Nothobranchius furzeri: one gene and its partner. The protein of the gene in region 1 interacts with the protein of each later gene in a pairwise test. Links are inferred from orthologs where the notes say so. Each region holds a gene or a part of one and is shown in the gene's direction. Other genes may lie near its edges.

Region 1 (3,513 bases):
GGTCCAGAGTCCGGGGACCACAGCAGCAAGTGGTTGGTTTTATTGCCTGTTTTCATCCAGGGAATCGCGACGGGCAGACACGTCTGATCAAAGATGGTCAGAAGGTGGAGGCGTATCAATGGAGCGTCAGCGACGATCGCTGGATGAAAATCGGAGATGTAGTCGGAGGCTCAAACCAGCAGACCTCCAAGAGCGTGATGTACGAAGGAAAGGTGAGGCGACAAGCTCAGAGCTAATAAACAGAGCAGTGTGAGAGGGCTTTCGCTAATGGGTGTTCCATCTGCTCTAAGGAATACGATTACGTCTTCTCTATCGATGTGAACGAAGGGGGGCCGTCTTTGAAGCTACCTTACAATGTGTCTGACGACCCCTGGCTGACAGCGCACAACTTCCTACAGAAGAACGATCTGAGCCCCATGTTTCTTGACCAAGTTGCTAATTTTATCATCGAGAACACTAAAGGACACGTGGTGGGTCCAGCCCAGCCTGGTGGCGGCGACCCCTTCACAGGTGAGGGGACTCGTCCTGTTGACTGATAAACAGGTTTATTATTTTTATTACAGAATTTGATCGTCCTGTCTGGTTTGAATCGTACCCAACAGGATGATCATTCAATATATCTTGGCTCGGACAATCTTCTGCTGTTCACTGTCTTGCCACAGGAGTGCCCCAGGGCTCTGTAATGGGACCTCTACTCTTTGCCATGTACACCACCTCACTGGGTGAGATCATTCGATCACATGGCTTCTCCTACCACTGCTATGCCGACGACACCCAGCTCTATCTGTCATTCCCGCCAGATGACCGCACAGTTTCTGCACAAATCTCAGACTGTCTTTCTGACATATCAAGATGGAGGAAATCCCACCATCTCCATCTCAACTTCTCAAAAACTGAATTACTTGTCATCCCAGCGAAACCATCCATACATCACAATATCTCAATCAAAAATGATTCCCTATCTCTGGCCCCTTCAAAGGCTGTTCGAAACTTGGGTGTTGTGATTGATGACCAGCTGACCTTTAAAGATCACGTTGCCTCTGTCGCTTGTTCATGCCGCTTCACGCTGTATACATAGGCGTCATTTTAAAAAATTTGTGATTGGCAGCTGTGTCCCCCCCCACTTTAAAAAAAGCCTGCTGATGAGGATTTTTGTTTTACCAGCTCAGATCTTTTACCAGGGGTCGGCAACCTGTTCCCATCAAAGAGCCATTATTACCCGTTTCCCACAGTAAAGAAAACACCGCAGCAGCCGCAGCGTTGTGGGCGGGGCCTACCCTCAGACAGCAGAGAGCTGCCCACAACCAGGTGACAGCAGCCAGTACCGTCGCTCGCATGGGCGTCGCACCCGTGGGGGATTCAACACCCACACTTTTCCTTCTGTTTTGCTCACCTCCACTCCAGTCTGGTTTCTTTATGTCGCACTCACTCTGTTTGCCTCATCTCCTTAATCACCTCCACTTCTGACAGCCGATGTCGGGTTTCCAGGAGAGCAGGAGATGGAGGGACGGAAGAGCTCGACTGAATTCATAATTTTACATCTTGACATTAGCTGTACAAAGTCTGAGTTTGAGAAAGTTAAGAACAACAATTTGCAGAGGTTTATAACTGGCGCGGCGCCAGGTTTTCATTTTTGGGTGGGCCACGGTAATTCTGGACGGACCTTAATAAGCAGTGACTTATGTGAAGCAGGCAGGACGCGCTAGAAAATTTCGTTTAAAAAGACGTCAAATGTGTTCCCCCGTCATTTTTATTTCTAAAATATGAAGTAAAAACTCCCAGTTTAATTTTCATTCATTTGACATTAATATGTAGTCTACACCCGTGCGTTAAGTGGACCATCTTCCAGTGAAATCAAAGCTTCCAGCCCACCTCTCCAAATGCGTAAAATGTGCATCAGCCGCTAGTTAGGCGCGTCACGCGCACCATCAGCGACGTCAGCCCAGACAAGAGCAGAGCAAATAGAGAAAGAATAGAGGATAATTGTGTCTGGATGTGGATGGAGATTACATTTTACAGCAGCCTGATCATCATTTAAATACGTAAACCATCACCTATCTTCTAGTCCACGCTATCAGCATTATTTTAATTGGTGTGTGTGTGTGTGTGTGTTTTCCACTTCAAACACTGGTCTAACCAACCAGACCAGCGTGTCCAGTAACACATTAATGTTACACTTCATGTAGGCTAGGAACATTTCACCTGCCGTGGCCCGACCGCTTCTGCTCCACATAAACTTTGTGCGTGATCAAATGTCTCTACAGGAGCTTTCTGAGCTGAAGAGCTATTCTGCCTCAGACTGGATGCGTCATGCATCTCCATATTAGAGACGGGAACAAGCGCTGTTCAGCCAAAGTTTCATCATTTCATAAAAAGAACATTTTTCCAAGTGACACATCCCTCAGAGAGACCGGGTTTCCAGACCGCTTCAGTGGGAGGAAATCTTATCGCATGCGCGTGGTTCTGTACTGCGCTGCGAACCCCTCAGATTTCAGCCCACTGTCCTCCGTGGGCACTCCGAGCCGCGCTGAACACAGTGTCCAGTATAAAGCTCTGATGTTCTGATGGGAATCAAGTTACCTCTGCGATGTGCGCAACGATTAAAATGTCAGCTCATCCATGCGCATCAGTGTGCGTTGGGGTAATTCTTTCAAAACAACCAACATCCTTGAGTTTATCCGTCAATATGTGGCAAGGTGGAGAAATGAGGGCCCGGGCGGGATTCGATCCCCAGACTCCCGGGTGACAGTCATACGCTCTAACCAGTCAGCCAAAGGGACAACCCCTTGGCCAAGTAGCCAGGGCGCATTATCTATCGGGACATTGTGACAGGACACACACTGCCACACCTGATTATGAAACTTTGGCTGAATAGTGCTTGTTCCTGTCTCCAATGTGGCGACGCATCCAGGAACCTGTCTGAGGAGAATCCCAGAATCTGACATCCTCAAGCTCAGGAAGCGCCTATGATTATGCACAAGCGTGAGGCGTCAACCTGGTCTCACAGTAAGACCGGGTTGGACCTGTTCAGGTTTACGCAGACAATCTTTATATTTAGAATTGGCATACAGATGTAAAATTAATCCAGTAAAATATAAAGCTTTTCATTTAAATATCCATTCATTATTTTACAAGCACAGAGAGCCGCATCAGATGGATGGAAGAGCCGCATGCGGCTCCAGAGCCGCCGACCCCTGTGCTAGCCTACTTTATTGTCCCCAGCAATTTTTAAACCCCACTCAAGTGTATGGTTATTGTCCCCAGCAATCCTGAAAACAAACTTGACGCCCTTGGCTGTATAACATACGAAAGATCAGATCGTACCTTACACAGTATGCTACCCAGGCCCTGGTGCAATCTACTGTCATCTCCCGCCTCGACTACTGCAATGCCCTTCTAACTGATCTTCCAGTCTGTACTGTGAGACCTCTTCAAATGGTCCAGAATGCAGCAGCGTGTCTGGTCTTCAATCAGCCAAAAAGAGCATTCGTCACCCCTCTGTTCATTGAGTTC
Region 2 (4,215 bases), on another chromosome or scaffold:
GAAGAAGAAAATTCTGTATTAATCTAAACTAAAATGGTAATCAGATAGTTAACAGTTTAAGTGAAATTATACAAAAAAGTTTTATTGCTGATATTTTTACAATGTGTGAATAAAGATTATACTCACCAGTAAATTTTAAAAATTCATGCTTCAAAATGAAAAATAAAAAATCTATAGAGATTAAACATGAAAAGCAATAAAGATCATAAAATAGGCAAACAAGAAAAAGCTCAAGAAAAGTTAGGGGACAGTCAGAGGCTTACTGAGAGAGATCTGAGTCTGAGTAATGGCAGATTCATGATGGAGGACTGCTTAAGACGGTGTGGGGGAGAGAAAAATTAATCATTACACTAACTGTAAATATGTAACAGAAGCTGCACATAAAAGTCAGCAAATTATTTTCTGTTTGAACACCATAAACACATGATAGTGACATTAAAATCATACAAGCACAGTGAAGACACAACTGCATTGAAGTCATATATATGCATAAAATAAAAACAATTCCCATCTGACCCATGGGTGGTGCCATCTTTCCAAGCTCGAGTCCTCGATACCAGAGAGAGATATATCTTAGTTGTTCCTAGAACTGCACTTTTCTGGACTGAGATGTCTGATATTTTTCCTGGGATCTGCTTTAGCCACTCCTCCAGTTTGGGGGTTACTTCTCGAGTGCCCCGATGACCACGGGCACCATATCTTCACTCACCAGGCTTTATCAAGCTCTTCTTTGAGGCCCTGGTACTTCTCTAGTTTCTCGTGTTCCTTTTGCCTGATGTTGCCATCACTTGGTATTGCCACATCAACCACAACAGCTGTCCTCTGTTGGTTGTCTACGTTCCTTTTATTTGTATATATATATATATATATATATATATATATATATATATATATATATATATATATATATATATATATATATATATATATACATATACACATATATATATATATATATACATACATATACACATACACACACACACACACACACACATATATATATATATATATATATATATATATATATATATATATATATATATACATACATATATACACATATATATACATAAATATAATATATTTTTATATATACATGTGTGTGTGTGTGTGTGTGTGTGTGTGTGTTTAGTAAATTGTAGCTCATAAATCATTTTCAGAGTTTAAAAAAAATCGCTTTTTTGTTCATATCTATTTTTGACATGTTTGGCTTTCCGTACAGTGGAAGTGGCGTAAACTGATGTGTGAGTATCTATTCGACTAGCACCGCCTTCATGTGTGTTAACATTGACAAATATAGTCTTTAAAGCATTGATAATTCATGTTTTGTGTCCTTACATGTAAGATACAGACATGATCAGTGGTCTAAGGCACGGAAAGCATGTGAGAGCGTTTTAATCGGAGCCTAGGCTAGTTCGTTAGCAGCATTGATGCTAATTTTAGCTTCTAGCATCATCAAGGCATCTGATGAGTAGGAACAAACAGGCTTCTTCTCTGGAAAACGCCAGTGTTTGTTGTCATGGTGAATTATCCTGAAAGCTAGTGAAATATGTCATATTTAATGTTAACCAGGGCTGAAGACATTAAACGAGCACATAACTAGTTTGGTTGTCGAGTTCCACACTTAGCCTTTAGCTGTAAATTGGAACTACTGTGTCAGGATGAATTGTATTTGTGAACTTACCTTTGTTGTTTCAGCTAATAATGGCCGAACTAAATACTCTAGAGAGCCTGCTGGAGATGGGCTTTGACAAAAACAGAGCGTGAGTTACACTCATCATAGACATTTGGGTTTTTGAATCAGAGCTACAAAGAAATTAAAGTTAAACTGGGTTTTTTTGTGTGTCTTTTTTCTCACATTTTCAGAGAAAAAGCTGTGGCCAATACAGGAAACCAGGGAATAGAACAAGCTATGGACTGGTGCGTCTGACATACAAACTAAAAGCTGTGCTGTAATCCAGTCAGTTTGCTGTCTGTGGCAACATTTATGTATTTTACTTTAGTGATTATTGGTAAGAGGTACTCCATTTATACCACCTTGATTCAGCCAAGGTGAGGTGATACTCAGTTCTGACAGATTCCTCACCTGTAGATGCATCTTTTGAGGAGCTCTGAAGCCAAATAAAGGCTCTTAGTAGGAACTGTTTTGCAAAAATGTTCTCATAATGTTACATTTCTAAGCGTTGAATGCAAAACACCGAAGGAAGAAATTGTGCATTAGAACAAACCATTTTCCACCCTGACCCAATCTCTATGACCTCCTTCCTCCAGGTTGATGGAGCATGAGAATGACCCAGATATCGATGAGCCCTATGTGCCTCCTGCTGAGAATGTTCTGGGAGGAACAACAGATAGTCAGTCCAGCATAGAGCAGCCAACTATCGAAGGTCAGGGCATGTTGGGATGTTTGGGGAATGAATGATGCCATAATATTGTGAACAAAGCACACCAGACAACATTTAAGTAGCTAGTAGAAATACGTTTACAAATAAACTATTAATGTGATGAAATTGGAGCCTTTCTAGACTGAAAGTGAACATTGTGTCATTACTCAACTGAAACAATGTCCTGCTAATATAGGAACAGAAAACTTAAGTGAAGAATTCCTCGACCCTGAGGACATAGAGGCTTTAAAGCGACCAATGACAGAAGAGGAGAGACGCGAACAAGTCAAAAGGTCTGGGCGCATTCATTTCTACTGATGGTAATGAGTTTGTCTATTTATCCACAAAAAGCAGCATGAAGTCATTGTTTATGCCCATGTTTCTGCTTCTCAGGCTAGAGGAGCTGATGCGGGTGAAACAGGCAGAGAGGAGAGAACGTGAGCGAGCAGAGGAGGTGGAGAAAGAGAAACAGCGACGGAAACAGGGCCAAGAGCTGCAGCAGATCCGCCAAAAACTGCAGGATGACGACATGAAAAAACTTGCTGATCAGAGGAGGAGAGAGAAGATGGAAGACAAACTTGCTAGGTAAGGGTTCAGTAATGCAGATAATCGATGAAGAAAGTTTAGTTTGGTGCTTTTAAGTAATTGTTTTTTTTTTTGTTTGTTTGTTTTTTACAAAAGCTATATTGATATTTTTCTTGAAACTTGAGGAAATTGGTTTCTGTTTTGAACCCTGTTCATCTTTATGTTTGTCAGGCAAAGAGTTAAAGAGAAAATAGCGAGAGACAGAGAGGAGCGTGCACAGAAGGTACCTTAGCCTGAAATCCTGTTCATGTCTTTAATTTCTTACTGATGGCTTTAATCCTGGTCACGTTTTTATTTCCAATGGTTTAGTTTGGAGGTGGTGCATCTTCAAGCACGGCTGCTTCAACACAGCCCACCCCACCCAGCCCATCATCGCCCACCAGTCAGGGCCCTCCTCCCACTAAGAAGGAGTATGATGAATCAAGGATACAGGTGAGGAAAAAACTGACAGCTTGATTTATTCTCTTGAGTTTCTCTGATCCACTGGCCACTTTTCCTCCACACTTCCTAAATGTTCTGATCCATTCTCAGGTTCGCCTGCTGGACGGCTCCACAATCACAGCCGTGTTTAAGGCTCAGGAGCCACTGGCGGCGGTGCGGGTCTACGTACAGATGAACGGCAACACACCCGAGGGTCAGGACTTCACGCTGCTGTCACCCTACCCCCGCCACATCTACACTGAAATGGACATGGAGAAGCCCCTCAAAGAGCTGGGTGAGTGGGAGACTAGTCTAAGTCCAGAACAAGTCTGTTCATCTTACCCTTTTTTTGTCTCAGGTTTGGTGCCTTCAGCCGTGCTGGTTGTTACCAAAAAGTAAGAAACGAGAGGATCTGCTCTGTGAGCCTACCTCACCACTTCCACTACGTCATGTCCAGACACCGGAAACCAACTGAACCAGAACCAGAGCTGCCATCCCATAGTGTTACACAAGGAGCCATCGAAGTGAGCTAAAGCACAGATGCTGTGAGGCTGCATTCAGACACGAGTGACTGGATTCAGTCTCCCGCTGCAGTTTGACTCACATATCGAGTTGGATCTTAACAGATCAGAGAGAAGAAAGCTGGGTTCTGGCTGACACTTATTCTAAACGTTTAGGGTAAAGTACGGATCTAGGTTGTTTGTTTTTACCAGATTCTTAATGACATCATCTCAAAGTTCTTATAAAGGGCCTTAAGTTTAATTGCCATGATCTTCCTAATTTTGTGACATTCTATTTTTCAATTTTTTTAAAAAGACGTTCA

The links. The genes of interacting proteins can lie anywhere in the genome.
Region 2: the proteins of plaa (region 1) and ubxn1 interact in binary tests that used the Homo sapiens proteins (3 or more experiments, as listed by UniProt). The two-hybrid records come from large-scale screens. The link is inferred for Nothobranchius furzeri from reciprocal best matches to the Homo sapiens genes PLAA and UBXN1.

The regions. Positions count from the first base shown.
Region 1 is NC_091742.1:72,989,725-72,993,237, forward strand, and holds part of plaa (phospholipase A-2-activating protein), read left to right. Parts: intron 1-60; coding exon 61-212; intron 213-290; coding exon 291-510; intron 511-3,513. UniProt on the Homo sapiens protein: Plays a role in protein ubiquitination, sorting and degradation through its association with VCP. Involved in ubiquitin-mediated membrane proteins trafficking to late endosomes in an ESCRT-dependent manner, and hence plays a role in synaptic vesicle recycling.
Region 2 is NC_091741.1:88,740,690-88,744,904, reverse strand, and holds the start of ubxn1 (UBX domain-containing protein 1), read left to right. Parts: upstream 1-1,413; 5' UTR 1,414-1,522; coding exon 1,523-1,525; intron 1,526-1,701; coding exon 1,702-1,766; intron 1,767-1,869; coding exon 1,870-1,923; intron 1,924-2,274; coding exon 2,275-2,390; intron 2,391-2,583; coding exon 2,584-2,680; intron 2,681-2,780; coding exon 2,781-2,972; intron 2,973-3,143; coding exon 3,144-3,195; intron 3,196-3,281; coding exon 3,282-3,404; intron 3,405-3,503; coding exon 3,504-3,687; intron 3,688-3,750; coding exon 3,751-3,791; 3' UTR 3,792-4,215.